3 linked regions of the Stegostoma tigrinum genome follow. The protein of the gene in region 2 purifies or fractionates together with the protein of the main gene of each other region. This does not show direct contact. Links are inferred from orthologs where the notes say so. Each region holds a gene or a part of one and is shown on either strand. Other genes may lie near its edges. The genes, in order: eps8a, abi1a and brk1.

What was found.
Region 1: the proteins of abi1a (region 2) and eps8a purify together in Homo sapiens (affinity purification with western blotting; 4 studies listed by BioGRID, with this or other methods). This does not show direct contact. The link is inferred for Stegostoma tigrinum from reciprocal best matches to the Homo sapiens genes ABI1 and EPS8.
Region 3: the proteins of abi1a (region 2) and brk1 purify together in Homo sapiens (co-immunoprecipitation; 3 studies listed by BioGRID and IntAct, with this or other methods). This does not show direct contact. The link is inferred for Stegostoma tigrinum from reciprocal best matches to the Homo sapiens genes ABI1 and BRK1.

What each region holds. Positions count from the first base shown.
Region 1 is NC_081378.1:42,683,634-42,694,581, forward strand, and holds the start of eps8a (epidermal growth factor receptor kinase substrate 8a), read right to left. Parts: upstream 5,341-10,948; 5' UTR 5,176-5,340; intron 1-5,175. UniProt on the Homo sapiens protein: Signaling adapter that controls various cellular protrusions by regulating actin cytoskeleton dynamics and architecture. Depending on its association with other signal transducers, can regulate different processes.
Region 2 is NC_081355.1:123,346,701-123,357,791, reverse strand, and holds the start of abi1a (abl interactor 1a), read left to right. Parts: upstream 1-6,574; 5' UTR 6,575-6,653; coding exon 6,654-6,770; intron 6,771-11,091. UniProt on the Homo sapiens protein: May act in negative regulation of cell growth and transformation by interacting with nonreceptor tyrosine kinases ABL1 and/or ABL2. May play a role in regulation of EGF-induced Erk pathway activation. Involved in cytoskeletal reorganization and EGFR signaling.
Region 3 is NC_081364.1:11,924,019-11,934,817, reverse strand, and holds the start of brk1 (probable protein BRICK1), read left to right. Parts: upstream 1-6,241; 5' UTR 6,242-6,297; coding exon 6,298-6,415; intron 6,416-10,799. Other genes in the region: FANCD2 opposite strand protein-like, read right to left, coding at 823-1,356. UniProt on the Homo sapiens protein: Involved in regulation of actin and microtubule organization. Part of a WAVE complex that activates the Arp2/3 complex. As component of the WAVE1 complex, required for BDNF-NTRK2 endocytic trafficking and signaling from early endosomes.

The sequences.
Region 1 (10,948 bases), on a different chromosome or scaffold from region 2:
GGTAGGTAATAAATGGGGCTGCAAGTTACATCCATCCAATGATACCCGAGTATTAAATAAACAGAAGGCATGTGGACCAGACAAGAACAATCATGTACAGTAGTGGAGCTATTGATTTGGACTGTTGGCTGGGATGAAGAATTAGGAAGAATGGGACAGGATTGCACTCCCCTTTATCATTTTGAAGGTAGACAACGTGACTTGAGGATCAGGTCCATTTTCTGCTCAGGAAAAACCACCGGATATATAGCCCTCAAATTTACATCTGCTCACTTCATGGTTTGGCCTTCAGACTAGACAAGTCAGCGCTCTTTGGTCTCCTTTCCTCTCACTTCAAAGTCCCCCAACTCAGTCAGTCAAACCCTACTCCATCAATGGTTAAGAAATTAGTGAGGAAATAGATCACACGAGAGCCAGTATGTTGTAACTGGAAAACAAATAGTGCAACAAGAACAATACATCAACTACGATGCATTCATAAACCACCAATAAGACATCATAAGAAACATGAGGGTCATCAGTATAGTTTTAGATCAAAATCACATCTCAGATGTACCAGATTTCTAATGTGTTAACTAAAATAGTGAAAACACTTATGGTCTATAAAACACAATAACATATATCAGATTTTCACAAGAAACTTTTAAAGGTTCTACTTGCTATGTATGCAAAATTCTCAAATATTCAGTGCACAAGGTTAACAGAAATTTAGCTAAATTGAAGCCAGCTTCATAGCAGACAAAGTATACAATGAAAAATATAGCAATGTACAATAATTGACAATACTCTCAAAGCTGATTTTTTTTCCTGAGCTCTGTTTTCACACAGGTTACAGATGTGAGCCTCACTTAGCAAGGCCAGCATTCGTTGCCCAACACTATCCTCAAGAAGGTGATAGCAAGCCATCTAGCAGCAAGAGGTGAAGGGCTGCAGTTCTTAACATCTGAGAAGGACGTCCAGGGTTGTGATCCAGTGACAATTAATATCGTTTCAAGTTTAGAACCACTAAATGGTTACAATAGTAGCATTGGGGAAAACTGATATCAAAATGCAGTGATTTAGGTTGCTGACTTACTTGTTTTTGTTCAGACGTTTCGTCACCATGCTACGTGACATCAGCGGAGCCTCCGAAGTGATGTTCTTTTACTCTGCTTGCAATTGATACAGCCCAGTCCATCGTGGTTTGTAGCATCATTTCCGGTTTTGATCTGTATGAGTTTATATACGGGGTCCAATTCTATATGTTTGTTGATGGCATCATGCATTGAGAATCGTGCCTCTAGGAATTCCCATGCGTGCCTGTGTGTCAAAACCAGAAGGGACACTGCAAACCATAACGGATCCGACAGTATAAATTCCAAGCAGAGTAAAATAACATCGCTTCATCAGCGGCTCCACTGATGCCTAGCATGGGGACGAAACGTCTGAACAAAAACAAGCCAGCTTGGCAAGAGAGTCAGCAACCTCATCCACAACCCAAGCTACAGCTCTTTGCCAACACTTTATGAGGTGATTTATTTTAAAATCTATCAAAGGAAAAAGAAATAAAGTCATTATTGACAGTAAAAGTTATAATCTGGAATACACCACCTGAAAAGATACTAGAAGCAGACTCAATGGTAACTTTCAAAATCAAGTTGAAAATTTCCTCTCTCTGAAGAAGAGTCTAGGCCCGGAACGTCAGCTTTTGTGCTCCTGAGATGCTGCTTGGCCTGCTGTGTTCATCCAGCCTCACATTTTATTCTCTTGAAAATTTCTTTGGTTACTTACACAGTCTCAACAGACTAAGAATTTATGATTCACAGGAAGGATCTGGGAAAACTACTATGACACAAGAATTTCTCAGGGACATTTGAGAAACCATAATAACTACTTGAATTATTGCACATCTCCTTGGCATGATCATAACTAGACGATTGCATGCAGCTCTGAGCACCAAACCTTAAGGGTAGATTCATTCAAAAATCCAAAGAACAGGGATAAATCTTGGAATCTAACAAATTTACTCAAAAGAAAATATAATTAAAGGCCCAAAAAAATACATAACCCAAGTGTTAGAAGTCATCAGCAGAACTACAGGACATAAGGACCAAACTACCCACCCTCAAGTGGAGCTAGAATTAAGAACTGTCACTACTACAGAGATATGAACTTGCCTGCAAGTGTCTAATTTGGTCTCAACTGATTCCTTTAGAAGCCAGTGCAAAAATCTCTGAATAACAGTTTTAAAAGTTCAAAGTTCAGCACAATTTTTAAAAATCTGGGATGCTGTCATTATAGCCTTGTTGGGACTGACATGTTTCATCTGTGGAGGTCAGCTTCAGGTGCACACAGGCGTAGACGTTTTAAAACAAAATATTGAGAGCACTTACATCCATCACCTTCCTGATTTTTTTCTGAAGCGATGTCAGAAAGCAAAGGCAGCACAGTGAGTCAGTGGTTAGCACTGCTGCCTCAGTACCAGGTTCAATTCCAACTTCTGGTGACTGTGTGTGGAGTAAGCATGTTCTCCCGTATCTGCGTGGACTTCCACCAGGTGCTCTGGTTTTCTCCCACAGTCTAAAGATGTGCAAGTTAGGTGGATTGGCCATGTTAAATTGCCCCATATTGACCAGGGATGTACAGGCTAGGTGCATTAGCTGTGGGACATGCAGAGTTACAGGAATACGGTGGGATGCTCTTCGGAGGGTCGGTGTGCATTTTTGGGCCGAATCGCCTATTTCCACACAATGGGGGTTATATGATTCTATAATCAAAATTAACTTGGACTTAACCCAAGAAGCAGAAACTACCAGAACAAACTGAAAGTCAGTGTGCCTTTTCATTAATAGACATACTAAATCAGATCACTCCAACAATAAGGAACAATCAACTATTTTATATTTCTCTTCATTAGCACCTCACTGAAGCTTTAAACCAAATAGTTTAGAAATATAAACAGAGTTTCGAAAGGGTAACATGAAGACTAATCTCTCAAATTTTAACTCAGCTGATGCATTCAAAGCAAAAATCAAATGAATCAAAGCAAAAGGATGTCCTTTTGAGGTAAACCAATGTTCACGTACACCTCCAAACCCTTTAAAAGTTATTAACCACCCAAAATGATTCCTACTTCATCTCAATTAAAAATCACACATCAATCTGCATAACAGATTTCAAATCAAGTACATTCAAGCCCAAATGGTCAATCATGAAAGCTGCAGTTATCACTTTCGTACATCCTTTTCTTGAAGTGACAAAAGGACTCTGACCAAAAAAGAAAATTGAGAAACATTATGCACTTCTTCATAATTAACAAATATAACCCATTGTTGTGAATCAGATCTAGGTGCTTTCAATAAGGTCCATCACAAAACCAATCTCAAGCACAAGAAAGGAAATAGCTTTTTATAAACTTAATCATGCCTTAAAATTCCTCTGCAAAATTGGTTTGCTTTTACACAAGTTTACATTTACATCTAATCCAGTTCTCACAGCAGTCACTATCAGGTCACCACAAACAAAAACAAACTCCTGCTTTAAAATTTCAATTATCTACATTAGTTGATTCACACAATATGTTTTCCTCCAATTTCAAATTATCTTCTACAAAAATGATTTAGAAGATGACATTACCTTTGCCCTTTCATGACCTCTTTGAAGATCATTTACCTTCAGCCAGCCACAATGAAGCTGAACAGACCCAACCTATACTGAGATTTACAGTTTAATTTGCAATTGCACTAAAAAGGAACTACATAAGTTTAAACAGACAAGATGAAAAAATTAAACTGTCCATAAATATTTTTTATGAACTACATACAATATCCACATTTCATAATATTTCACAACTCCAGAACAATTTAATAGAAGTTAAAACTAAAAAAACTACTCCAAAGCATCTGTGCATGTTTTTTCTAAAAGTAGTCGTGAAAAAGTTATGTTTCGAAGGGGAGGTTCAGATAAAACAGGAATTAAAAACTGTTTTGGAACACCTCATTTCAGTTATTCCTGTTTAAAAGGTGTTCTTATGTCAACATCAGTATACCACCATACGTTTACACCTCTGGTGTACAGTTGCTATAGTTGTACCAGACCACAGGATGTTAGTCTTTTAACCTCACACACCACACCTCCGAGAAGGGGAGAAGTTAAGGAGGGCAATCCTTCCTGGTAACCTTAGCCAATGTGGAAACTAAACCAATGCTACTGGCCTCACTCAGTATTAGCAAGATAGCCAACAGAGCTGACCAACCTCCAACTTCTGGCACACAATAATAGTCACAGAATATGACAAATAAACTCACTATACTTTACAACAAAGAGCAGCAAGAACAAAACAAACTAGAGAGTTTCTTTATCAACAATATGCCATTCATATAAAAAGTTAATCAACCTTAGCCAACATTGCTCAGTACAAACAAAAAGATCCAAAGCAACAGACCACCTTTTCACTGGCCAGAGTCCAGGGGGCCCGGGTAACAACAGGACTCACCCCTGCTACGGGCAGATGCCTGACCCTCAACTCTCACCCAAAGAAAATACTTCTGCATGACTTCGATATCCTCAGAACTAAAACGGTTTTAAAACTTTACCTGGAACCAAATCCGTGCCTGGTCATGAGTTCCTAATCTTACCACGCACAGCGTACGAGGTCCCATCCCGCCGCTGTTAGACACACCCAAAACAGGAGGTCCCAAATCACCTTCCCCAGGAGAGGAAGCTCCCACTCCCTCCCTCTCCAGCCAATGACAGGATGGTGGGAATAGGTTAAACAACAGCCTTCAACAGGGAGTTGGATAGGGATTAAAACAAAAAGGGGGAGGGGAGAAGAGCAGGGCTATAAAGAGCGTGTACGGGGTCAACGGGCTGAACGGCCACACTATTCAGTACATATAATTTTATATTTTTTTTTAAATGAGTTAGTTGTGTTGTGTGGAAAGTGGAACAACGTTATTAACACACCGGGTGAGGGGGTCCCTCTCTTTACCGGGATGGGGTCTGGGGTCTGGGGTCTGGGGTCTGGGGTCCGGGGTCCGGGGTCCGGGGTCCGGGCCCTGGGTGGGGTGACGCTCCTATCCCTGGGCAGCTCTCCAACTTCAGCCGCACACCCTCCCCTTCTCCCTCCGAGCACCTCGGGGGCCGATTCCGAAACCCCCACGCCAACCGTGTCCATCGATCCCCAGCCCCTCTCACCTCAGCTCACGGCCTCGATCGGTATCTCAGTCTCCAGGCACCTGGGCACTTGCCGTCAGCGAGCAGCGCCCGAATTGCGCCCCCACCCCCCCCGCAAAACTCCTGGGGCACAGACGCGAACAACCGAAGCCGCTCGCGCAGCGCTCCCGCGTGCCCCCACACCGCCTCGCGGGGACGCGCGTCCGCCGCTGAGCGCGCCAGCGCCACCTCCCGTCAGGACCCGCTCGTCTTCGCTTGCAGGGCTATCCTCAGGTGCTGGAGTTTTCTGCCCGGTTCCTCCTGCTCCTTGAGACGGTGGGTGGTGGAAGTTGAACCTCTGCAGTCCATGTGATGAAAGAGATCCCCAAACCCCTGCCTCTTAGGGTTTTGACCCTGCGCCAAGTATAGAACTGTACAGACCCTTTGGTCCACGATGCTGTCCCAAACTTTTATCCTAATCCTAAGGTCTATCTAACCTCCGCCGCTACCTTATACTATCATCCATATGCCTATCTCATAGCCGCTTAAATGCCGCTGAGGTCGACTCCACTACCCATTCCGGCAATGCATTCTACGCCCCAGATCTAGATCTAATAAGCGCCTTATGGCTTTGTATCTTTCCCGTTCTGCATTTTTCTAAGCCCTTCTAGTTTTATGCTAGCCCTTGTCTCTTTAATTGTCCATGGCTGTTTTCGCGAAGTGGAGCTCCTCCCTTTCAGGAATAAACTGGTTTTGTATTGTGTTAAATGTTTCTTTTAAATATCATCACTGCATTCAGTTCTTTTACCCATCAGTAGATTTTCTGTGAACAGATTACAGGTTTACTGTGCACAGTCTCTGTCTCGTTTTGTTTAAATTGGCCTTACCTAAATCTAAAGCTCCAGTAGCTGATTCATGCTTTTTGATTTCCCATACTATGTTGAATTCAATAATACCATGATCAATATTTTATTAATGTTCATACACAATTAGGTTACATATTAAATCCAACTCTTCACCCATTATGAAATCAAACATTGCTTGACCTCTTGATGCATCCAGAACATACTGCTGTAGGAAACTATGCCAGACACGCTTCTGAAATTCACTGATATAACAAGGTGTAGAACTGGATGAACACAGCGGGCCAAGCAGCATCAGAGGAGCAGGAAAGCTGATGTTTCTGGTCTGGACCCTTCTTCAGAATGTCCAGACCCAAACACCAGCTTCCCTGCTCCTCTGATGCTGCTTGGCCCACTGTGTTCATCCAGCTCTACACCTTGTTATCTCAAATTCTCCAGCATCGGCAGTTCCCACTATCTCAGAAATTCACTAACTTTCCGTCAGCTGCTTATCTGCCTCTATGCTAAAGTTAAAAAATCACCATCAACATTATTCTGGCTTTGCTAATACACTCACCTAATTTCTGTAATTATACAACCTAGCACTTTGAAACATTTCCAAAAATTAGTCCTAAGTGACTATGACAAAAGTATATTCTCCCTCCTTGTCCTTAATTACCTGCTTTCTTTGAGACAGTTGACACCCCACCACCCTCTTCGAACACGTGTCAACTGCTGTCTAGATTGGTGAGAATACACTTGGGTTCTTAATATAATCATGGCGCAGATTGTAATACTTCTCCCACTTCTACACCGTCACTTATGCTGCAGCAGGTATCTGTCCTCAGTCCCTCCGACTTATCATGTATACACTGCTGTTTGGCAAATTCATCCCAAAAGCACAGCATAATTTTTTTGCAAGCATGCTGAAGACAACCAATTGTAATTCATAACTAGCTCTCTGTTCCAAATGATTACAATGCTTATTCAATATCCAATTCTCGACGAACAGGACTTTTCCCCAAATGATTTTTGTGAAGATTGAAGTCATGCCAGTTTCATGCCGCACTCCAAGTTAGAGATGTTGCAAAATATTGGTATAACCTACCCACTGATCATGTCTTCTCCACTGGAGACAAAAAGTTTGCAATTCATTTGCCAAGCTCGGCGAAGAACCAACAGCCACACTCCAAGTCCCACTCATTTGTCCCTGATTGTACCCGTGTTCTTGGCAGATGTCTGAGACCAAGCCCAGCCTGCTTGTAATAGATAACACAGTGCAGAGATGGAGGAACACAGCAGGCAGCGTCAGAGGAGCAGGAAAGTTGATGTTTCTGGTCGCCACCCTTCAGAAAATAAATGCTGCCTGGCCTGCCTGTGTTCCTCCACCTCCACACTCTCTGACTCCAGCATCTGCAGTTCTTACTATCTTTCAGCCTACTTGTAGACTTGATATCACATTTGATTCCAATCTCATTTCATGCCTCATTAAAATCACTTGTTTCCACCTCCATAATATTGCCCAACTTCTCTTTGGTCTCAGCTTATCTGCTGCATTCGTGCATGCATTCTATCATTATCTCTCGGGTTCACTTTTCCGATGCGTAACTGGCTGACCTCCTACATTCAACCACCATAAACTTGAGGTCCCAAAAATTCTGCTTCCATTTCTTAACTTGTTAAGTTCTGTTCATCTATCAACGCTGTGCTCATTAATTTACATTGCCTCTGGATTACGTAATGTCTTAATTTTGAAATTTCAATGCTTGCGTTCAAATCCATTCATGGCCTCACCCCTCCTCATAACTATAATCTCCTCCACCCTCACACCTCCAGCAAATATCTACAATCATCCAATTCTAGCCATTAGGCCATCTCTGATATTGACCGCCACACCATTGGTGACTGTTCCTTCAGCTTTCTAAACTCTGAACTCTGGAATACCATCCCCACAACTTTCTGTTTCTCTGTCTCACTTTCTTCTTTTCAGATACTCCTTAAACCCTACCTCTTTGACTAAACATTTGGTCAACTGACCTCATGTCTTCTAATATGCATCTTATAAAGTTCCTGTGTAGCACTTTATGCCATTTTATTACATTAAAGTTGGATAAGTTGAAGTTGTAGTTTTGAATCCATGCTTCTGGTGATAACACCATTAAAGTCCAGTAGTTACTGAAGGGGAAATGACCAAGAATGCAACCCTGAAGTGGCCCAGAGATGTTCAAGTAGTCATTGAAGGATTGGGGAAATACGAGAGAGATCCAAAAACAGTGTTTTGTGAACCAATTGGCTGAGAATTTGATAGATGTGGGAATTTGGTGAAGAGTGGGACGGAGGCACTCTTTTTAATCTCACTGTTTTACCTCCAGTAGCTGGTGAAAATTCTTTTTGTTTTTCCCAGATAGTTGATTGCAAATTGCTGTTACTTCTTTTATTTATTTTATTTATCAACTAAACTAATTAAATCAAGATTTAAAAGATATGGCAGGGCTATTGGTATAAATAGACAGAAAATGTGGGAATACATTGGAATGACAATACAGTCTACTGTCTACAGCTTCAACCCAGATCTGCTGAGCTGATGTCTTTGATGAAGACGTTGTGGGACATCAACAAAAGGGAGATTCCTCAGCACTTAGTTCCGGTGGTAATGACATCCCCCAGGTGAGGTAGAACTTTGCAAATGATCAATGACCAGGCACAGGGGATTATGAATGTCAGTGAGGCAGTTATGCAAGCCAGCATGTAGTGATTCCTTTGAAGATTGCAACTAGTTAAATATACTTGCAGTCAATGTAGAGAAAACTAAGGACTATAGTGTCTATGACCAAACTGATCCAACAGCCTTTCTAAGCTGTGCAGCATCTAGAGGTTTCTCTGAGGCTAACCATCGTACAGAATGCCAATCATGTTGGGGAGGAGGGTAATGTTGTAATTAGAAAGTATGTGGTAGAGGACGGTACAGTGAGGGCATAGATATTATTCACCACAGCTATGACCAGGAGCACTGAAAGGTTGTGATACATGCCTTCTGTCAATGTTTGGGCACGTCCTTTCTCAGTGGATTCTTGGAACAATAACATCAGAAATACTAGGTATCTTGCTCTCTGAGACAGTTTGAGGAATTCAGATTCAAATTTAAATGCAGAACCTCAAAGGTAGTCATGACCTAGCAAACAACAACCTCATCTAGTGAATGAATAAAAAAGAATCACTGAGACTGAGAGTCTGTTACTAATAATTAGTAGTTAATAAGTAATAGAAGGTTAATTCATAAATCAATTAATTGTGTCTGTACAAAATATAGTCATGAGGAGTAAAATGAGAAGTAAATCATTTTCTGATTGTGCAAAGCATGTGCACTTCAATAGAATAATTAGTACCACAATCAGAAATAAATATTTTAGACCTGTTCACCATTGCAGAGTTACATTTATAAGGTGATCAATGTTGAGAAATAAATATTCAAGAAAATGCCACATTGTGAAAAGACACTGCTAACTTACATTTACCTACGCCTGAACAACCCAGCATGGTGACATGGTGGAATAAACACTCCTGAGACTGTGAGATTTCTTCCCTAAACTTCTTTTAACAACACATATCTGGGTGTTAATGAGGGAAATAAACAAATAAGTGGTCACAGGAACCCAAATAGTGATACATTTTGCAGCATACCTGTGTTGAGACAGTTTCTGTTGATAACAACCGTGATTTCATCTCACTTCTTCCCATTGCAGCAGTGTTTGGTATTGCATGATGCATTCAGTTGTATGCTTACACTATTCTGCCCTTTTGAAATCAAAATTAGAGAAAATTTAGACACTAAAAGCCAAAAAAGATAAACATCCTGATATCATCTGCTTTCTTTAAACGATCATCAGTAACATTTACCTTAACTCTTTTCATAGTATTTTGAGCTATAGACCTCTCAGTCATTTTATGAAAATAAACTATTACATCATATCATGTATATATTTCCAGGGCAGATGTAATATTGCATCAGAGATATTGGGAACTGCAGATGCTGGAGAATCCAAGATAACAAAGTATGGAGCTGGGTGAACACAGCAGACCAAGCAGCATCTTATGAGCACAAAAGCTGACATTTAATGAAGGGTCTAGGCCTGAAACGTCAGCTTTGGTGCTCCTAAGATGCTGCTTGGCCTGCTGTGTTCATCTAGCTCCACACTTTGTCATCTCAGATGTAATGTTGCGCTATTTTGATCTCCACTAGTGAGCTCCATTATAGCAAAATTGCACTTTGCATGAGTGATTAATATTTCCTCATCTTAAGTAGAAATTAAAAGTCAAAAACTTAATGTGGAGTGTAAAATAGGAAAGCAAAGTACTATAGATGCTGACAAAGTAGTAGGTTTGGATATTAATATCGATGAGGAAGCTTTCACGATAATTGAATGTACCATCACACCTTGTCTAATTCCATCTGCCCTGGGTCTTTTGCTGCTATAATTCATGTTGCTCACAGTTTCCCAAGCCAATGCCACCATCTTGATTCCTGTAGATTTTCAGGGGGGTTGGGGATGACATCTGCATGGGAGGGCAAGAGTCTCACCTCCTCCTCTTATGCTGTGTCCCCCCATTCCAGACCTCGAACACAACACTTGGCAGAAAGCCTATTCCTGACAACCCCAACACACACACACACACACAAACACACACACACACACACACACACACACACACACACACACAAACAAACATACACACAAATAGCTTCTCCTCCCTTCTGCAAACTCACCACTGCCTCTGCATTGGTGTTTCTGGATTCAGGCTGAGTGAAGTCACTCACATTCATATTGTTTGCTTGTCTCATCAGCCACGAACACTGGAGAGTAGCAGCCTGTCCTTGGAAGTGTATTTCCTTGTACAATCTGTCACTTGCACTGACCTGTATTTTGAATATGGGTCCATGAGCCTATAGAAACCCGTGGCAAGCTAGACTTCGG
Region 2 (11,091 bases):
AAGATAGAGTTAATGGACTGGATTTAATGCTTGCAGTCGTAAGCAGGAAGATCAGTAGCAACAGATCAAGGCCATTAAGCAGCACTTAGTTGACCATTGAAACATCTCATTGGACCTACTGTTGGGAAGACCATCCTTCACACTTTTTACCCTGGTCTTAATAGAAAGGAGTGAGGTTGCTGACAACTTCTGCCATACTTTAAGTCCAGCACTCCACCTTGCTCCTCACTTGCTTCCAGAGGGATTGAAGGTAGTTTACATTCCATCCAATCTTTCAAGTTGATGGTCTTTTCTTTTAATATTTGGCCCTGAAATGTCTCTCTACAGGTGCTGACAGACCTGTTGAATATGCACCTCAGTAACTCTCAGCCCAATTTTCTGCTTGGTGTTTGGGGTGGCACAGTGGCTCAGTGGTTAGCACTGCTGCCTCACAGTGCCAGGGACCCAGGTTCAATCCCAACCTCAGGTCTGTGTGGATTTGCACTTTCTCCCTGTGTCTGTGAGAGTTTTCTCAAATGCTCTGGTTTCCTCCCACAGTCTAAAGATGTGCAGGGTAGGTGGATTGGCCAAGCTAGAATGCCCAGGGATGTTTAGGTTAGGTGTGTTAGATGTGGGAAATGCAGGGTTAGGGGAATGGGTCTGGGTGAGATGCTCTTCAGAAGACTGGTGTGGACCTGTTGGGCTGAATGGCCTGTTTCCACATTGTAGAGATCCTATCTCTATTTTATTTCTCTTTGTCTGACACCTTAAGGCATTATGAAAATGAGACCTTTAATCATAATCCTTTGGTGCAGAAGAGAAAGTAGAAACAATTTAAATGCAGTTTTAATAGAGCACACAATGAGAAGCTGCAATAGCAAGTTTGTTCAATGCTGGTGGATTAAAAGTAGTTTCATACATCTTGGCATTAACTTTGTCTCTTTGGATAGGAATAGGATATTAATGAATTGTTAAAATAGTTCACCAAAGAAAGCACATGTAGGAATTTTAACTCGATAAGGATAAACTAGGAATCAAAAATAAATACTTTAAAATCAAATGATGTTCCAGCTGATAAACATTAAAAAACCAGCTGTGTGGATTCCAAGTTATCTGAATGGATGAATATGTCATAAAAGACAGTGTTGAACCAAGAAAGCCTCAGCTTCAATTTTGATCTGTGCTGTTAGTCTGTTTTAAGTGGTGAAGGCATTAAAATCAGCCTCAGAAGGAGAGAAGAAAATTGGGCAACTTTGACATTTTTAAAGACAGTCTAAGCTGATTACCTTGATAACACCTACTTTCATACAAGTTCTAAGAATATTGCTAGTACCCCAGCATGAAATACAGAATCATAGCATGCTCGCTGCTTGCAGAATGCCACCCTTCAGACTTGCACTATCTTCAGGAAGAAACAACTGAAGAACAAGTCAGAGGGAAAACCGAAGCATAGAAAACATTCCGTGTGTTTCACATCATTTTGCATTGGTGAGAAATGACAATTTCCGACATACCAAGCAGGTCTTGATCTCAACTGTCCTGTTTTAAGCAGATCAGTACAGTATTGAAAGACAAAGCAACCCCAAGTTACTTACAACTAAATTAAGAATTTCATATGTAGAACCTCTAGTACAAATCAAAACTTAAGTTTAATAAATTGAAAACTTAGCACAATGTTTTAGACAATTCAGAATTATTCATTCTATGACATCCTACTCACCCTGGACACAATTTAATTCTCATTTTGCCTGTGTGCACATTGTAACAACAGATATGTGCTGCAATGGTATGGATTTGACAACCTCCTCCACTTTTATGGGAAGAGAAAGGCACATGGTTAAGAGGAAATTTCTGTTCAATGATGGCACTAATTGATGCATGGGCTGTTTTGTACACATTTATGTCACCAGTCTGAGGGTTCCATACTGGAATCATTATCATGCTTTCTGGAAGCACCTTTTATCATCAAGGCCCAGTTCTGGAGATGGTGATCCAACATTGGAGGAAGCTAGATGTTGTGCACAGTGTAAGCATTGTGCCAGTTCACTTGTTAGTGGGCACACATTTACAAGAATTGTTGCCAGTGGTCATAAAGGAGCTGGTCATTGAGGGATTGAAACCCTACCCTGTTCACGAATCTGACTAGCAGGGAACTCTGAGCACCATTTGTGCAGAGTTGTTGGGTCCTTTCACCTGAGCAAACCAAGCGATAACTGCACTTTGCACAGTTCAGGCAGCTATGCTGTTCAGGTCAATGATGAATTAGAGAAACTGGGTTGCCTTCCTGTAAAGGGCATCAATAAGATTTGTGTGAAATATCACACAAGTCCCCATTTGAATTTTGAAAGGAACCATGATCTTCAGGCCCACAGACAGAGCAGTTCCTTCCAAGCTGTGCAAATGCATATCTTCCTCAGGAGGTACCAGATGTAGATCACAACTACTCCAGAAATGTAACGATGTCATTTACTTATCTGGAGGTAGCTGCAATGCTTTCCATATACCCTTTCTCTATAGACTGTTTCTGTAGTCACTGGACTCCCTCTTACCAGGCTGCGTGTTTGTCGACAGCAGGAGCCCCTGAGCTTCATGTCTATGATTCTGTGTTTTTTCTTTCCTTTTCATCTCCTTCTTCATCTTTTTAGTCTTATAAATGCTAATATTGCTGCTGGGTTTCAACATGTAAAGTGGAATTATTGATATGTGATTAAAGGACAGTAATTAGATGTTTGCTTTGCATTTACCATCTTGTCATATTCAATGACTACTTTAGACCGTTATCAGGCTGCTCCTCCTTGGGCGATACCTTGTACATGGATAGGTGCAATGTCCATCACCCATGACTGATTCTCAGCTTTCCTTTTGGTACATCAGAGACATCTGTGCTTTTTATCTTAAAGGTACCTTGCATGCCGATGCCAATTAACGCAATGTAAATCTATTTGCCATCATAGCACCCTGTGATGCAGCCCCACACTTCTGCAGGATCAGACAACATAACTGTTTCATCACAATGCCATTAACATTCATATACATGAGGCTGCAATTGGTTCTGCATTAATCCCTGAAATTCTTGGAAACCCTCTTTTGAAATTTGAGTTTTGGAAAGATGGGGCTGTACATTTATCTTTGGATTGCATCCCCCACACTCTCCCCATTTTGAGTACAATTCTCCCCCCAACCCCATTACCATGAATGGCCTTGCCATTTCCTGTTTTGTTTTTACTTTGCGATCTTTCAATTTCCCTTTCTTACTATTTCCTTTGACATTCCTGTTCTTCTCCTTGATCCCACTCCCACAGAAATTATGATGCCTCGACTCAGATAAACTCTGCCTTATTCAGTTCTGCTCTTTCTTGCTCTCTCTCTCGCTGCCTCCATTTCAGAGGATCCTTCCACTGCCCATGATTTTAAAGGCACTTAAGTTGCTTTCTCTAGCTTCCCTTTACATCCAGCTCACTTTTCTGAGAACCTTTTTTATTGATGCCCCATTTAGGTTACACACGTGTTTAAGTTAACGTTCCATTTATGTTCATTCACCTTTTAAGTTTTATTATGCCTGCCTGTTCTAATCAGATTTGTTTTAATGAACAGTGTGACTACCTCGATTAGGTCGGCTGGTGGGACTGATCAGCCATCCTCTCTAACACTGTAATAATCTGACTACAATAAACTTGATGGCCAATGTATGTTCGTTCTTATGAGCTGTTGAACAAGGAGGGTCTTTAGATTTAGATTTTATCGTCATGTACATTCATCTACAGGAATACAAGAATACAGTGAGAAACATACAAAGTTGCCATCATCATCATCCGGCACCATCTTAGTATACAAAAGACAGGACACTTTGTCATGGGTCCTTGCTGACAGAAAAACAAAGCCACAATGTGCATCCCTCAATCTGCGAACATTCAGGTGCATAGTGCTGCAGCCGCAATGCTACTGTCAGGTATCTAAGTCCAGCCATGGCCTGGAGCCATGACACCACCGCTGGAACCATGTCACCAGTCTTTGGCATCACATTGGGTCCTTTGCCATCATCACCATGAGTCTGCTGAAGCTGCTGGGTTCTGAACTCGGCTCAAACTCAACGCTGAGCCCACTGCACAAAAGCAACTGGTGCCTTGTTCTGGCTGACGTAGCTACTGCTGCCATGTCCTGGGACTACTATTTCAGCAAAGGTATTTACCACCGCTGGTCCCTGGGAAGGAACAAAACCATTAACACTGGAGGAGCTTAAATGTAATAAACTTGATGGGCTATGAATGTGCCTTGTCATCACCAGCTGAACATTGGGACTCTTTAGTCCACGGAAGTGTTTGCATGATATTTTATTTCTGAAGCAGCCACGTAATGGATTACTGGTTTATTCACAGGGCTCGGAGGAAGCAGTCTACTCTGCCAAGCACTCCTCTTGTGTACATAGTCAGGTTTGTGAACACATGCTTCCTGTTTTTGGCTAAAAAGGTTGCATCCATGAATGTAACTACCATCTCCTGGGACATTAATGAGTATTCATAGACTGCTAAAAAATATAAAAAAGGTTCCTGAAAGCCAACCCAGTTGAAAGGTTCTGAGAAGCTAATACCATAAATTTAACCTGCCATTGGGAAAGAGAAACTTTGCCTCCCGCTCCATTATGTCTTCCTGCCTGACCTTCTAAAAGCTTGGGGGTGGCCCATGGAATATGGTTCTCGGTCCTCTGACAGCTACCCAGGAAGTAGCTCAGCCAAATATATAGTTTTTGCATTTGAAACTGAACAATTAGTGTCAGCAGAATATTTGACTGTGGGCAAAAGAGGAAATGTCCAAAGGAGTGCTTCATTCACACGTACTGCAGTGGACCCAACCAAAGGTGACTATATTCGTCATTCATAATGGAGAACCAAGGTCTATGTTGTTGTCTGTTGACCAGTGTGTGTGTATAATATATATTTATGCTACCATTACTGGGAAGACTGACCATAATTGACTTGTTATCTGCATAATTCCAACTAATGTCTTTTGTACGAATCTTTTAAATTGCACCACATTAAAATTAATTTTGTGACCTACTTATTTATGATCTCCCCATCCAGTGGACATAACCATTTCCAAGGTCTATTAATAATTCTGTTCTTGAAGTTAAAGGAAATGATAATAAAATTGCAACTAATTACCTTTACCAGCTAAGGAGGGATACAGTTAATGTTTATATCTGTTAGTTTTTTTGAAAATTAATTCATGGCATGTAAAGATCACTGGCAGAGCCCATATCTATTACCCATCACTAATTGACTTTGAGAAGGTAATAGCGTGCTTCTTTAATCTATGTTGTCTACAGTGCTGTTAAGAATGGGTGTTCCACGATTTTGACTAGTCAACAGAACTCAAATCAGGATATATTCCACACTTCATCGGGTGTCTTCAGTTCTAAGCTGAAAGGTCACTGGACTTGAAAAGTTAACTCTATTTCGCTCCCTACAGATACTGCCAGACCTGTGTTGTTTCTCCAGCATATTTTGTAATTAACCTGTTCAGGCATGTTACTACACACGTCTGGAGGAAGTGGGACTTGGACATGGATGTCCTGAGCCAGAATGAAGGACATTACCACTGGTACCTCAAAAGCCAGTTTTATCCCCGCAGGCACACTTTCCAGTGTCCGGCATCTCCAGGTCATTGGCAGAGGAGAGAGACTACAACAAGCCCCATCCCAGGCCCCAAGATGACTTTCCATATTAAGCAGAGGTTCACCTGCACATCCGCCAATGTGGTATACTGTATCCATTGTACCCGGTGTGGCTTCCTCTACATTGGGGAAACCAAGCGGAGGCTTGGGGACCGCTTTGCAGAACACCTCCGCTCGGTTCGCAATAAACAACTGCACCTCTCAGTCGCAAACCATTTTAGCTCCCCCTCCCATTCTTCAGATGACATGTCCATCATGGGCCTCCTGCAGTGCCACTAGGATGCCACCCGAAGGGTGCAGGAACAGCAATTCATATTCCGCTTGGGAACCCTGCAGCCCAATGGTGTCAATGTGCACTTCACCAGCTTCAAAATCTCCCTTTCCCCCACCGCATCCCACAACCAGCCCAGTTCGTCCCCTCCCCCCACGGCATCACACAACCAGCCCAGCTCATCCCCCCCACCCACTGCATCCCAAAACCAGCCCAGCCTGTCTCTGCCTCCCGAACCTGTTCTTCCTCTCACCCATCCCTTCCTCCCACCTCAAGCCGCACCTCCATTTCCTACCTACTAACCTCAACCCACCTCCTTGATCTGTCCGTCTTCCCTGGACTGACCTATACCCTCCATACCTACCCACCTATACTCTCCTCTCCACCTATCTTCTTTTCTCTCCATCTTCGGTCCGCCTCCCCCTCTCTCCGTATTTATTCCAGAACCCTCTCCCCATCCCCCTCTCTGATGAAGGGTCTAGGCCCGAAACGTCAGCTTTTGTGCTCCTGAGATACTGCTCGGCCTGCTGTGTTCATCCAGCTTCACATTTTATTATCTTGGATTCTCCAGCATCTGCAGTTCCCATCATCTCAAACTACAAGTCCCAGATGACTTTGCGGTCGGTGGGTGAGAGGGAGGCTATGGGATCCCGGCGTGCCTCGCGCGGTTGGGAGGGTGTAACCAAGGCGGTCTTGAGCGAGGAGTCATAAAGCGATGCAGAAAGATGTAAGATGGCAGAGCTGCAGATGTTACTCGAGGAGGAAATCCCTGCCGGCAAGAGGGCGCTGATAGAGAGTTACCAGAACCTGGGCCGTGTGGCCGATTACTGCGAGAACAACTATATCCAGGTACGAGCTGGCGGGGGCAGTGGTAACGGGAAAAGCGGACGAGCGGCACCGCTGGCGGTTACAACTCCCCTGCCGTGTCCCGCTCTCTCTCTCTCTCACACACACACCGTCCCAGTGGCAAGTAACTCTGCCCGGATACGGGCTGGGCCGTGAATTCGATCCCTCGCCCCCACTCCTGCAACCACCCCCCTGAGACCAGTACAGACAGACAGACACACACACCTCTTCTTTCTTCACTTCGATTTCCCCAGGCCGTGAACGGTTGGACACTTATCCGCCCCCGTCCCGGGGCCTCGATAATGTCAGGTTTTGCTCGGGGCTGAGAGGGGTGGTGGTCTCTCTCTAGCTCTCTTCTGTTTTTAAACTCACTTTGTGAAGGAGTCAGCCTGTTCCGTCAGTAGTTCCCTGGATTTACCAGCACACTTTTTAACGCCAGTCTCTGTGTGTCCCAGAGGGTGTGCCGCGCTGTCTGACTCATATTCCCCGGGTATGTGGGCCGGGGCTCTCCCTCTCCCAATAGTTTCCACCCCTCCCACGGGTCCGCCTGTGCTCTTTAGGCACCCGCTCTACAATTTGAATTGATTTTTATAAACAGCTTTTGTTCTTGAGGCAAGCAGTTCGTCCCCGCTTTGTTTTAATTCGGTGTGAAGCCAGGGGATCTTTCCATTGATCTGTTTGCGTGCGTGTGTTATAAATTTCGGTGTTTCTTTCATGTGATTTGTCTGTCTGAAAGCTAAGTATAGGTTTTTTGTAGTCCGACATGCTGAAATGATAGCTATATCAATTGAGCAACACTCCCTTTACTCTGGGTTGGGCAACCTCGGGGAAACTGTGCGGTGAAGTAGTCTTTCCGACACCAGTTTAGTGTGGAACTAGTCTTAAAGGCGTCAAAAGCCCCCACCCCTCGCCATGAAGTAGGTTTTCCTATCCTCGCTCTTCGTTTTTGTCTTAGTAAATTCCTTGCAAATGTGGGTGTTCGCAGCTTCATGTTCAGCCGCAGTGTTTTTTTTAAACTCCGAGATCACTTGTAACAGGATGAGATCCCAAACTCCACCCGAAAGTTAGTTTGATGCGCCAGATACGGAGGAAACCTATGTAACGTTTGTTTTTTTCCATGGACGGAAATATGATAGTCGGAGGCGGATAGAAGTTGCAACACGACTTGCAGTTGTCAGCTGTAGTGGTCCGGGCAACGACAGATAGGTTTACATATGTCAATAAACACTCTAGTATGAAGTATCCTGCTTTGCAGATGAACTTGTGATTCTCAAACCTTGTGCTCAATTCCAGTTTGTCTGAATTGCACTTGTTTTTGGGTAACTTGCTTATCATAAAATAAGGAAACTGAAGCTATTTGACCCAGGCTGTGTCAATTTAAGGTTTTATTTCTATACGAGCATCACGATGGTGCTGAGTATCTGTCCTTTTTTTGTAATACTCTTGATAGTTGCTTCAAATGTCTTAGTTTTCTCTGGCTGCATAAAGTGCTTTCTTATTTCCATTTCACGAAGTTGTGACCACTTTGAAGCTACTTTGTTTTGCAGTCATGATTTTAATTTGAATCTCTTTCTGTTGTACTGGATAACACGCACCTTAAATTGCTTCTACATTTTTGCTCATACTGTCGCACTTTTAGGGTTTCAGTGCAATTTTTTTTGCTCTGTCGTCTGTCATTTTTATATAGATAACTTCGTAGCCTTTCTCTGCGTGACCTCGGGACCATGTTTTTAGCACTTTTTAAAAATTGAAGTATTTTTGAGTTGTATTTCTAAGCAAGTGTAAAGTCAAAAGTTGGTACCGAGCTTTCAGAGTTTTATTTTTAGAGCAAGTGAACTTCCAGAGTTTGGGATCTTGATAATTGAAGATTTCAGTGTGAAGAATCCAAATGATTTGAGAATTGGAGTTGGAGATGCTTATGGGAGTATTTAAACATGAGGCTTTGAGAAGTGAAGCATTGATTTTTGGAGCTAATGAGTCTGGTGAATGGCATGGATATACTTGCATTTTATGCAGAGTAGAAGCAATGTAGACAAAGCTTTTTGACTTGTCATGTCTTGAGGAAAGATTCAGCCATTAGATAAGTGAATATAGAGCACATTGGTGATGTAGTGTCAATGGAAGTAGTTCAGAATCAATGTAGAGATTGAGAATTATCAGTTCCCCTCCGAGTACTTGGCACTTGTACTTCATCATGCACTTTCAATAGTTTTAAGTTGATTGTATCCTATAGAGGCATCTTAGATCTTCCCCAGCTCACCCACCGTCGCTTGTGTCTTCAGTACACCAGGATACACAGTTCTTCTTGTCACAGTATGAATTGTAAGTATGAGACCAAACACTGATCTTTGTGGTGCTCAACTAAGTTCCATCCTGCCACCCAATAATGACTTATTTATTTTTCTTTTCTGATTCTTGACCGTGCTGATCCTGTGAATTCTTATCTTGTGGAACAAATTGTTCTCTGGGATCTTATCGAGCGCATCCTCAAAATGAATGTGCTGTATCTGCACGTTTTTGTTAATTATCCTGATGGTTTCCACGTTTTAAAAAAACCCTTTGTCGAATCATGTTGACTTTATCTAATCAGTGGCTTACAGCTTTGCCTAGTTCATGCCCCAAATAGTTAGTTCATACATTTAAAAAAAACTGATCATTGTTTCTGTTTTTGCATTTTATTAAAACAGATTTCATTGACTGTTGCTTTGTCCTTAAACCATACAGTCATATTCCCTTTTAATACCTTTTGACTGAAATCTTGCATCTTTGGTACCTGTGTAAAATGTATATCTCATTTGGCTAAATGTTCCAATCTACAGAATAATCTTGGACATTCTTTAAATTTCCCTTCCTTCCAAAGATTGCAAGATATGTTCTAATTTATTTTTTAACTCGGTCAACTTTTAGTATTCTGACTGCATGAGCGGCTTATTGTGGCTGTGTCCCCTTATTTAGAATCATTGTAGGTGATCAGTCCACAGTTGAAGGTAGTCAGTAGGTTGCTCAAGCTGCTACTTGTCTTTTTCGAAAATCTACTTTTATAAAGTTGTATTGCTCAACAGTAATTTCAAGCTCACATGTAAACTGCAAAAACAATCAGTTTCTTTCAGTGCAGAATGTGGATCAAGCTGCTGTTTGTCATCTTTGTTCTCCTGTCAGCCATAGCATCAATTATTCTTGTGAATCAGATTTTGTATCTTTTAATGCAAGATAGAATATTCCTTACTGGCGTATCAGGGGATAGTTAGTCAGATGTCTGTTTATTTCCAAGTACTGGTACTTCCCACTTCCATCTCCCAGCAAATTTCGATCCTTTTGCTTATCTTATCAGAGTAGGTGTCTGGCAGTGTGTCTGCAATATTTTTGAAAGTTAACTGTAATTTTACTTAGCGGTAGTTTAATCCTGCAAGCAAGCATATTGTACACAGAATGTACACCACTGCCAAATATCTTCACTTTTAATATCAGCCCTCCTCGTATGGTCCGCTGGATATTTTAGTCTAATGTTTTGATTGGTTCAGCAGTATTCGCAAGTCTTGGTCAACCAAATTTGATAATGCATCTTGACGCTTCCCATTGCTACCCAATTCCATGTGCACTGTTACACTTCTCTAATTCTAACCGAATAGTTTTAAATTTATCTCCTCCATTAGTCTGTATTGTGTAGTAATTCAATCTATGAACACTTTTTTTTTGCTGAATTGTTTTTAACCAGAAACGTTTTGCACCTTTTTCTGCTATTGTCACAGCCAGCGTAACTTGTATAGCAATTTGTGCAAGCTTTATTTAATTTCTCGGTTGAAGCAGGATATATGGCAGTACTGTATTGGAGAGAGGAGTTAATTTGTGCAAGCCAGTTTGAAAAATGATATCACATGGTGTTTATAGCATAGAAGTGGGCCATTTTAGCTGCTGTACAACCCCTTGCCAGTGCTTGTGCACCATGTGAGCTTCCATCCATCCTTAACTAATTCTTGTAGTCATCTTCCTTTGTAATGACTGCCTTGTTTTCCTCATTAATGTCCTTGCCAATTGCCTGCTACAAAACAAGTTCAGTATTCTACATTGTGACCACAGTCTTAAACAGAAAGGCCTTTCCTAAGTTCCTTTTTAGTTTTATTTAGTGATGATCTGTGCCAGCTCTCCTCTGCTGAAGGTAAGAACCACAGTCTATTCAAGTGTTCCTGAAAGGAACAACCTCTCATTTCTGGTATCATATCTTTTTTGATCTCTTTAGGCAACCTGCAGTGTCCCATAGAATAGAATCCGTACAGTGTGGAAACAGGCCCTTTGGCCTAACAAGTCTACACAGAACCTCAGAGCA
Region 3 (10,799 bases), on a different chromosome or scaffold from region 2:
CAAAATCTCCCCTTCCCCAACTGCATCCCTAAACCAGCCCAGTTCGTCTCCTCCCCCCACTGCACCACACAACCAGCCCAGCTCTTCCCCTCCACCCAGTGCATCCCAAAACCAGTCCAACCTGTCTCTGCCTCCCTAACCTGTTCTTCCTCTCACCCATCCCTTCCCCCCACCCCAAGCCGCACCCCCATCTACCTACTAACCTCATCCCACCTCCTTGACCTGTCCGTCTTCCCTGGACTGACCTATCCCCTCCCTGCCTCCCCACCTATACTCTATCCACCTATCTTCTTTTCTCTCCATCTTCGGTCCGCCTCCCCCTCTCTCCCTATTTATTCCAGAACCCTCACCCCATCCCCCTGTCTGATGAAGGGTCTAGGCCCGAAACGTCAGCTTTTGTGCTCCTGAGATGCTGCTTGGCCTGCTGTGCTCATCCAGCCTCACATTTTATTATCTTGGATTCTCCAGCATCTGCAGTTCCTATTATCTAGTGATAATACCACTTGGCCACCTCATTAATTCCACTTGTACACACACAGAGCAGGAATAGTAGCCTGATGTCAAACTACTTCTTGCCCAATGGTTGATTTTGCTTTTAAAAAGAAAATGGTTCAAAGGCTAAGGGGAGATAAATATCTCACGTGTTTGTGTATCCCTAAGAAAAATAACAGCTACCTTCTACCCAGCAACTACAGTAGTTACAGGAAAGCTCTGCGCATGCTACTGCTCTGGCTGAAGGAATCTGTAGAGAGAAGTAATGGGAAAAAAGTTCACTTTATTTTTATTTTAAAAAGTCTTTTAAGAAACAAGTTTAGTAAAGTATCAAATTTGATGTTGTAACAGGTAAAAACATTTCTGGTAAGCTGTGTAAATCAAGGTGACAAGCCTTAATAATTGCCTATAAAACATCATGATAAAATTAATTTTATACCGTGCAGTTAAAGTCGGTATGGGGGAATCGATGCTGATCTCAGTAAAAGCTGAGCTTTCTGAAGCACGAAAGCCCCCTGCAAGTTTTGGTGCTCTGCTGGTGATAGCTCTCCCAAATACAGAATCAACGGAGCTGAGTTTGACGGGATGAGGTTTATGTATGATTGTTGCATTATCATATTCATCTTCTGAAGTGTGGCACATCTCAGAAGTGAGTTTCCCTGTGTCCCCTAGAAGATCCAAGAGATTCCAGTCATCAGTTGCGACGTCATTTTGCAGGTAGAGGGCCACTTCTTGGTCTGATGGTGAAGACATCTGTATGATCTCCGTTCCATCTCGTTTCTGAAGGGACTTGCGACCGTATCTGACCCATTGAAAATGATCCTCAAATGGAGTCCAGGGATGCCACACTTGATAGGTGGTCATCTTCAATTGTAAAGATCCCAAAAGATCAGGTTCATGAAAAGAGGGGAATTGTCAAGTTATTTATGGTTATGGTGGAAAAAAATCCAATTGCATTTGAAGATTATTTTTGACATTTGCACTGTCATATAATGTTAAACTCAAAATGCAACAACTACCATATGTCATTAATTTAGAGCAATCACGGCACCCTATTAGAAGAAGGCTAAATTTCAAAACTACTTATCCTTGCATTCAAATACCTCTATAGCTTTTCTCATCCCCATCTCCACCCCAATTTTGGACTTGTACATTCCTGGCTTTAATCCATGCTTAGTGATTAAGTATTGCTGGAGTGGAAATTTCTGCAAGTGAAAATTCCGGACAGACTGAACTGGAACTATACCGTGCCCCATCTCTAGCCACTTACGAAAAGGTGCTGTTCAGAAGGACATAAAAAATTTGGTGAGTGGGAAGATTGTTGGCAAGTGAAGTTCAATGCAGTGAATTGCAAAATGATAGATTTTGGTAAAGCCATGGAGAAATTATATAAAGGATGAAAAAAAAGGCAATGATTTAGTGGCATTATCGCTCGACCATTAATCCAGAGGGCCTCATAACATTCCCGGGACCCAGGTTCAAATCACATCATAACAAATGGTGGAATTTTACTCTATAAAAATCTGGAAAGAAGAGTCTAATGATGACTGTGAAACTATTGACAATGGCAAGGAAAAACACATCTGATTCACTTTCGGGCAAGGAAGACAAAGAATAATACAGCACAAGAACAGGTCCTTTGACCGTCCAAGCCTGAACCGTTTTGCTGTTCCATACTAAAACTGTCTTCACTTACAGGATCCATACACCTCTATTCATGTATTTGTCCAGGTGCTTCTTGAATGTTGCTACTGTGTTTGCTTCCACCACCACTCGTAGCAGTGTCTTTCAGGCACTCACCACCCTTTGTGTGAAAAACTTGCCTCTGCTAAAAATCTTCCATCTTTATCTGGTATGGCCTACATGTGACTCCAGACCCCCAGCAATGTAGTTGATTTTTAACTGCCTTCTGGGTAATTAGGGATGGGCAATAAATGCTGGCACTAGCCCACATCCTGTGGATGAATTTAGGAATAAAAAGCAGAGGGACGTTGGTATATTAAGTGCATAAGTCATTAAAAGTGACAGGATCGGCTGAGAGTACTCATGAAACATATAATAGCCTAGGCTTCATAAACAAGAAGCACAGGGTACAAGAGCAAGGCGCCAATTTGAAGTGAAGGTACTGGTGTCATGGTAATATCACTGACCTAATAATTCAGAACCCCAGGATGCCATCTGGGGACTTAGGCTCAAATCTTGTCATGGCAGGACTTGAAAATTGAATTCAATAAAAATCTGAAATTAAAAACTAGTCTAATTGAAGTAGTCAAAATTATGAAAAGTCTGAGTAGACATGAATGGGTTGAATGGCGTACTTCTGCATTGTAACAATTCTGTGTTATTATTTTAATGTTTCAGACTTTTTTTTATTGCTGCAGTACCAATGTTTAAAAGTTAGGACAAGAGCAATTATCCACCCCCTCCACCCCCCCCCCCCCATTCTTTTTACCAGTGTTTGGCAGTATTACCTTCAGCTTTCAAGGCCTTAAGCTTTAAAATTCCCTCCCCAAATCTCTTTGCCTCTGTCTCTTCTTTTAAGGCACTGAGACAGGTATGTCTTGGACCGTGGGAGTTTTGTCACCTCTTCTAATGATTCTGTTGGTTAGATGTCAGTTTTTGTCTGAATATACTCCTGTGCGGGACCTTTGCTATTTCCAAGGAGGATGAACCAAAACTACAAAGAAATAAATTGGAACGAGTGAGGATGATATGCGAAAATGAGAAAGAAAATTGGAAAATTGTTTTACTAAGATGCTGCTTGGCCTGCCGTGTTCATCCAGCCCCACACTTTGTTATCTCGGATTCACCAGCATCTGCAGTTCCCATTATCACTGACTGTATAACCAGCTTTTGATGCCAGAAAGGCACTGTATTAAGTTGTGAAGAAGACATACGGAGTCTGCAAAGGGATATAAATAGGTGAAGGGCAAAAACTCGGCAGGTTTAGTTTAAACTCACGTACAAAAACATAACATTGTTTAAATGGAGAGCGATGGCAGAACTCTACAGTACAGAGGAATAAGGATCTCTTGGTACAAGAATCACAACATTCAGTCATAATGTCATACAGTACAGAAGAGGCCCTTCAGGCCATCAAGTCTGCACCAAACTTGACACCAATCCCACTTTCCAGTACTTGGCCCATAGCCTTGAATGTTAAGGCATTTCAAATGCTCATCCACAAATGTTTTAAAGGTTGCAAGGTTTCCTACCTCAACTTCCCTCCCACGCAATGCATTTTCAGGTTCCTACCATCCTCTAGCTGAAAAGATTTTTCATCAAATTCCCTCTCAGACTCTTCTCCTTCACCTTCTAAATAAAGCCCCCTTGTTATGTCCTTTCAACAAAGGGGAACAGCTGCTTCCGTTCCAATCTGTCCATAGCCCTTGTAATCCAATACACTCTGAAGGGTTCTGATCTGAAATGTTAACTTTCCTGCTCCTCTGATGCTGCCAGGCATGCTGTGTTCCTCCAGCTCCACACTGTGTTATCACCTCAAACAGGTCATCCCTCAATCTTCTTAAACAACCTGAGCTCATCCAGCCTCTATGTGGCTAAACTGCTTCATCCCAGGCAACATCCTGGTGAATCTCCTCTGCAGGTCCTCCAGTGCATCACATCCCATTATGGGCGGCACGATGGCTCAGTGGTTAGCACTGCAGCCTCACAGTGCCAGGGACCCAGGTTCGATTCCACCCTTGGGTGACTGTCTGTGCGGAGTTCGCACATTCTCCCTGTGTTCTGTATGGGTTTCCTCCAGGTGCTCCGGTTTCCTCCCACAGTCCAAAGATGTGCAGGCTATGTGGATCGGCCATGCTAAATTGCCCATAATGTTCAGGGATGTGTGGGTAATAGGGGAATGGGTCTGGGTGGGCTGCTTCAAGGGGTGGTGTGGACTTGTTGGGCCGAAGGGCCTGTTTCCACACTGTAGGGAATCTAGTCTAAATTCTTTCTATATAATGCAGCTACATTAAGTGATTCAAAAGGCAAATTGAACATTTTCTTTTGCTAATTGCAAGGAGGACGGAATATAAATGTATGAAAAGTTTGCTACAGTTGTACAGAGTGCTGGTGAGACCACATCTAGAGTTCTGTGTACAGTTTTGATCTCCCTACTTATGGGGAAGAAAAAACATGATTTGCATTGGAAGCAGTGCAGAGAAAGTTCTTGGAATGAAGGTGGGGTAAATTACTTTGAAGAAATAATGTACAGGCTAAGTCTGTGGCCATTGGAGTTTGGAAGAATGAGAGGTGATCTTTTTGAAACATATCCTGATGGATGCCCAACATATGTTTCCCAATTTGGGAGAGTCCATATGATGGGTTACAGTTTAAAACAGCTCTCTTAGTTAAAATACAGATGAAGAGAAAAATGCTTTCTCATAAGGTTGTGAGTCTGGGAACTCTCTTCCTAAGGCTCTCTGATTTTTTTTAACGCTGATTTTGATAAATTCTTGACTAAGTAGGGAGTAAAAAGATATACAGGAAAGTTGAGATCTCAATCACATCAGCCATAACTTCATTAAATGGTGAAGCTTGCTTCAGGGGTAGAATGGCCTATTCCTAGTTCATCTGTTTCAACCATGCTTCTGCCCCCTTTGCAATTTTCATAATTGTCTAAATTTACCCCTTGTTTAATCATTACACAAATTGGTGAATGGGCTCTCATCGTGCACTGATATTGTCCCTACCTCCCAGTCGGAAAGCTGGCACACTAGTTTTGCATGCTCCATAGGGTGTGTTATACACATTCGGACAAGTTGATTAAAATGAAATCGCGACGTTTGGCGAAGTGATTGGGAGATGACGCCGTGCTAGCATTGTGGAAACCTGTAGTCGGGTGAGGGGACGGTGGTTTGCCATTTTGAGGATGGTTCGATGGGAACTAGACTTGACCTGAAGCAACATATTTTTCGGAAACGCTCACCTTTCCGATCCAAGGGGATCAGGATGAAAAAAAAACCTGGAAGGTAGGGGCTGTTTGGTCAAGTCGCACGTTCTTAGCCTCCTGATATGATGTATTTATTCGGTGAGGCATGAAAATTGCGTTCGGTTGCCTGGTTACCTACTAGGCGAATGTGTCAATGTCCATGCAACAACAACTCGATACAGCGGGATGGCAACGTCATAATGGTTGGAACGTTTGGTGATGTCTAAAGACTCTAACTTTGATACTGCATTTTTGGAAACACAAGGTTCCAAAGAAAGAGACTGCACATTTTACCAATCAGCTGGATCTGATACCACTGTTTCTCCAAGGATGAGCTTTTCCCAACAATTTCTGACTTTTTTTAAATTTCTGAGCTCCAGCACCAGTATTTTAATATTTTGTTGCCTTCATATCTATTACTGTTTCTCTCTTTCTGAATGAGTTTGAAACCAACTGGTAATTGTCACCCCGCCCTCTCATAACTTCAGCAATCCTCCAAATCTTCGATCTTCCTTTCGAGCAATTGAACGGTTCTCACCCTCGCCACTTTTCCACACCCACTCTAAAATCTCCACCAATCAAAGTTCTCGCCAATAGACTGACCAATAGGATTTTTATTTCCACGGAAAGGCGGTACCATCTTTTACGTTCTGCCAATGGAAAATCTTGTCTCGCCTTTCCCGCACCTCCAGTTCCACTTCTGTCCAATAGTCTTCGAGGAACTCGCGTCTCTGGGTCGTATGTGACCAATAAGATTGTCTAGATGGCCGGGTTTTGTGTTGCTCTGTCCAATCAACGCAGCGATTACAGTATCAGGGCGTTCCGGTCCGGGAGGAGGAGAGGGGAGGGAGAACTCGTTTGTTCTTTGGGCTATGGCGGGGCAGGGGGATCCGGTTCAGAGGGAGATCCATCAGGACTGGGCCAACAGGGAATACATTGAAGTGATCACCAGCAGCATCAAGAAGATCGCGGATTTCCTGAATTCATTCGGTAAGAAGCCTCCGGTGACAGCGCACCCACCAAAGCATTGCTTCCTGTTTAAGTCTGACTTACTGGGTGCCAGGAACGTAGGGCCTGGTTCAGCTGATGTCCTACGTTTGTCGCTGGCTTTAACTGTCGACGGTAGGGAGGAAGTTAAATTTGCATTTACTCTCCAGAGATCGTTTTAAAGGGTTATTTCGCGATGGGGCGGTGACGAACGGAAGAGACGTTCCAAATTGAGCTGTGCTTCCTTTTTGCCTATCAGTCGCCTCGCCCTGTCGTTCGTGTGTGAATCAGAGGGCTAGTAGCTATTTGACCAGAGTGGAGCAAGCTCGTCTCGGCTGGCCTTCAGACAGGGGTTACTGAAGCTAATTCGAATGCCCCACTTACCAGTGAGACGAACTCACTTAATGCAGTCTGGACGTTTAACTGGTTTTAAACTGTTCTGCGTAATGGACGTAATTGTAATGTCATGTCTTAGTTATGTTTAATAAAAGCAAAACAGTGGTGTTGGAGGTCTGAAAGAAGAACAAAAGTGCTGGAAAAAATTCAGCAGGTCTGGCAGCACCTGTGGAGAGAAGCAGCGTTTGCGTTTCGAAATCTACATGACCTCACTACTGAAGAAGTCTTACCAGACTTAAAATCCTAATTCTTTCTCTCTTCCCAGATGCCACCAGATTGCTTCAAAAATTATCAGCATACAGCGTAGAAGAGGCATTGAGTAAAAGGATAGACAAGTTGTGCTGCAGCTTTATAGATCTTTAGTTAGGCCACGCTTGGAATATCGCATACAGTTCTGGTCACCAGAAGGAAGTGGATGCTTTGGAGAGGATACAGAAAACGCATACAAGGATGTTGCCTGGTATGGGGGCTTCTAGCTATGAAGAAAGTTTGGATAGACTGAATTTGTTTCCCCTGGCAAGCAGGAGATTGAGGGGCAAGCTGATAGAAGTTTATAAGATAGAGTGGAAAGTATGAGGATTTTTCCCAGGGTGAAGAAGTCAATTACTAGGGGACACGCATTGAAGGTGTGATGGGGAGGGAAGCTTAAGAGATGTGAAAAACTTGCTGTGCACACAAGAGGTGGTGAGTACCTGGAACACACTGCCAGAGGAGGTGGTGGAAGTAAACACAGTAGCAACATTCGATAAGCACGGAGATGAATATATGAATAGGAAGGGAATAGAGGAATATGGATCCTGTAAGTGAAGACAGTTTTGGTATGGAAGGGCAAAAAGTGTTAGTATGGTCTTGAAGGGCCTGCTCCTGTGCTGTATTCTTTGTAAGAGACCCTTCGACCTCTATCAAGTCAAGATGGGCTTTTATTAAGGTAAATAGCCAAAGTCATTTTCCCAGGGTAGGGGAATCCAAAATAGAGAACGTAGCTTTTAAGGTGAGAAGAGAAAGACATAAAAGGGATCTAAGAAGGAACTTTTTCATGCAGAGGGTTGTGCATGTATGGAATAAGCTACGTGAGGTGGTGGAGGCTGATACAGTTACAGCATTGAAAAGCAGCTGAATGGATACATGATTAGGAAGGGTTTGGAGAGATATGGGCCAAATGCTGACAAATTGGACTAGATTAATTTAAGGTATCTGCTTGGTGTGATGAACTTGGACCGAAGGGACTGTTGCTATGTTGCATATCTCTATGACTCTGCGTCTTACTACCAAAAATGAACTACTATTTACACCAGTCCCACTATCCTGCACTGGGCCCGTATCCTTGAAAGTTGTGACACTTTGCTCATATGAGCAAAGATGATATGCTCATCCAAATACTTTGTAGAGGTTGTGAAGCTACCCTCCCAGACAACACATTGCAGAGCCTCATCGCACTCAGTCAAAAGGTTTTCCTCAAATGTCCTTTACACCTGCCTTTCAGTTTTGAATTATGTTCCCTTGTTGTTGTTGTCCCTTCCATTAAGGGGAACAGATGTTTTCTATTCACTGTCTGTGTGCCTCAAAGCCCACAGAAAAGTACAGCACAGGAACATTCCTTAAGCCCGCCATGTCTGTGCTGACAGTGATGCCATTCCGAACTAGTCCCATCTGTGCGCACGTGGATAGGAAAGGTTTAGACCAAATGCCAGTTCAAGTTAGAAAATCTGGTTGGCGTGGATGAGTTGGGCTGAAATGTCTGTTTCTGTACTCTGACTCAAGTTTTTCTACCCCTCTCTGCAATCTTATACACCCCTATCATATTCCGTCCTCACCATTCTGTTCTCCAAAAACAAAACATCCTGAGCATATCCAGCCTCAGTCCGGGTTGGAACATTTCAGCTGAGAACAGTGTCCAGGTGAATCTCCTTTGCACCCTTTCCAATGCAATCAGTCCTTCCCGCAGTCAGGTGACCAGATCTGCACACACTACCCCGACCTGGCCTAACCAAAGCCCTGTACAGTTTTAACATAACCTCTCTGCTGCTATAATCTGTCATGACTGATGAAGGCAGGCGTCCTGTACGCTGCCATAGCTACCCCATTAACCTGTCCTGTCACCTTCAGGGATTGATAGACCAACACCACAAGATCCATCAGTTCCCCTGAGCTTCCTGGTGTCATACCATTCATTGCATACCCCCTTAAGCTTATTCAGTATGTTCTGTTCTTGGTTAACATATGAGATATGATATAGGCCTTGCAGATTTCGCATATAAAGCTGCAGCATAAGTTGCCTATCCATTTACTCATTGCCTCTTCCAGTGAAGGCAAGCATTTTTACTTCGTATGGAAGGGTAAAATGTGCCAGCACAGTTTTGGAGGGGTGAAGAGCCTGTTCCTGTGCTGTATTGTTCTTTGTTCATTATCAGTTGATCATTGATATTTTTCACTCAACCTGTTCAGACATGTTACGATGCTTTGGAGCAGGTGGGAACTTGTAGGGACATGCAGGCCATGTCGATTAGCCATGGTAAATGCAGGGTTACAGGGATGAGGGGGCTAGGTAAGATGCTGTTCAGATGGCTGGTACAAATGGCCTCTATTGGCACTGCAGGGATTGTATGATTCTTTGACTTGAACCTGGAGCTGCTGACCCAGATGCAGGGACTCTACTGCTGTGTAACAAGGGGCTGTAAAATAATTTGACCCTTTACAATGACCATCGGGATACATGGTAACCAGAAATCCGATAAGTAAATAATTCAGAGGAAGTATCTTTACCCAAGTTGCAGAACTCACTTCACAGGGATGGTCAAGGGAAATCAGTTTACCTTTGCAGAAAAACCTGACAAACCTGTGATGGAGAAGATTATAATGGCAGATTGAGTTGAGGAAAGATAGGAGGGGGCTCATAAACCTCTTGTGGGAAGTCTAGGACAAGCGGGTATAATCTCAGTATGCCCATTAATACAGAGAGGAGGAGGAATTTCTTCTTTCAGACAATTGTGAGCTTGAGTTTATTGCACAGAACTGTTGAGTCTGCATCATTTTAAGAGTATTTCCAGGCTGAGAGAGATTTTTGTTTTATTTGGTAAGGGGTATGGGGAATAGGCAGGAAACTGGAGTTGAGGATTATTAGGTTAGTTGTGATCTCACTGGGTTCCTGGACAGACTCAATGAGCTGAATGGTCTGTTTCTTCACTTGCATCTTACAGTCAAAAATGGCATGGACTGATTGAGCTGAATGATGCGATCCTGTGCCTCAGATCCTGTCGTGAAGAGAAAAATGCTGCAATACTATCTAATTACTTATAATCTGTTACCTGAAGTTTGCTATTTTTTTCTTTGTGAATTACCTGCTGCCTTGTGTTAGTTAAGTCTAAAGCAACAGTTCATTCATAGCCATCAAATTGGGAATCTGTAAAGAAGAGCATCTATAATTCTGTAACATCAGTGAATTCCATCTCCATGTTAAAGGAAGCTTTTTTAAGGTCTCCTTTACCCTGTTAGCAGGACAGGAACGCTCTTGCCTAACTTCCAACACTACTTCAATACTTCAGTAGAGACTGTGAATAATTTTCCAGCAAATGGGGCGGCACGGTGGCTCAGTGGTTAGCACTGCAGCCTCACAACGCCAGGAACCCAGGTTCAATTCCAGCCCCAGGTGACTGTCTGTGTGGAGTTTGCACATTCTCCCCATGTCTGCGTGGGTTTCCTCTGGGTGCTCCGTTTCCTCCCACAGTCCAAAGATGTGCAGGCTAGGTGGATTGGCCATGCTAAATTGCCCGTAGTGTTCGGGGTGTGTGGGTTATAGGGGGATGGGTCTGGGTGGGATGCTTCAAGGGCCGATGTGGACTTGGGCCAAAGGGCCTGTTTCCACACTGTAGGGAATCTAATCAAATTCTTCACCTTCTTGAGTTGAGGTAAAAATGTGATCATCTGATGCCATATGCTTGTTGTGTTAATAGGGTACAAATGTTTTACCTGATGGAGGTCTGGTAGTTAGATA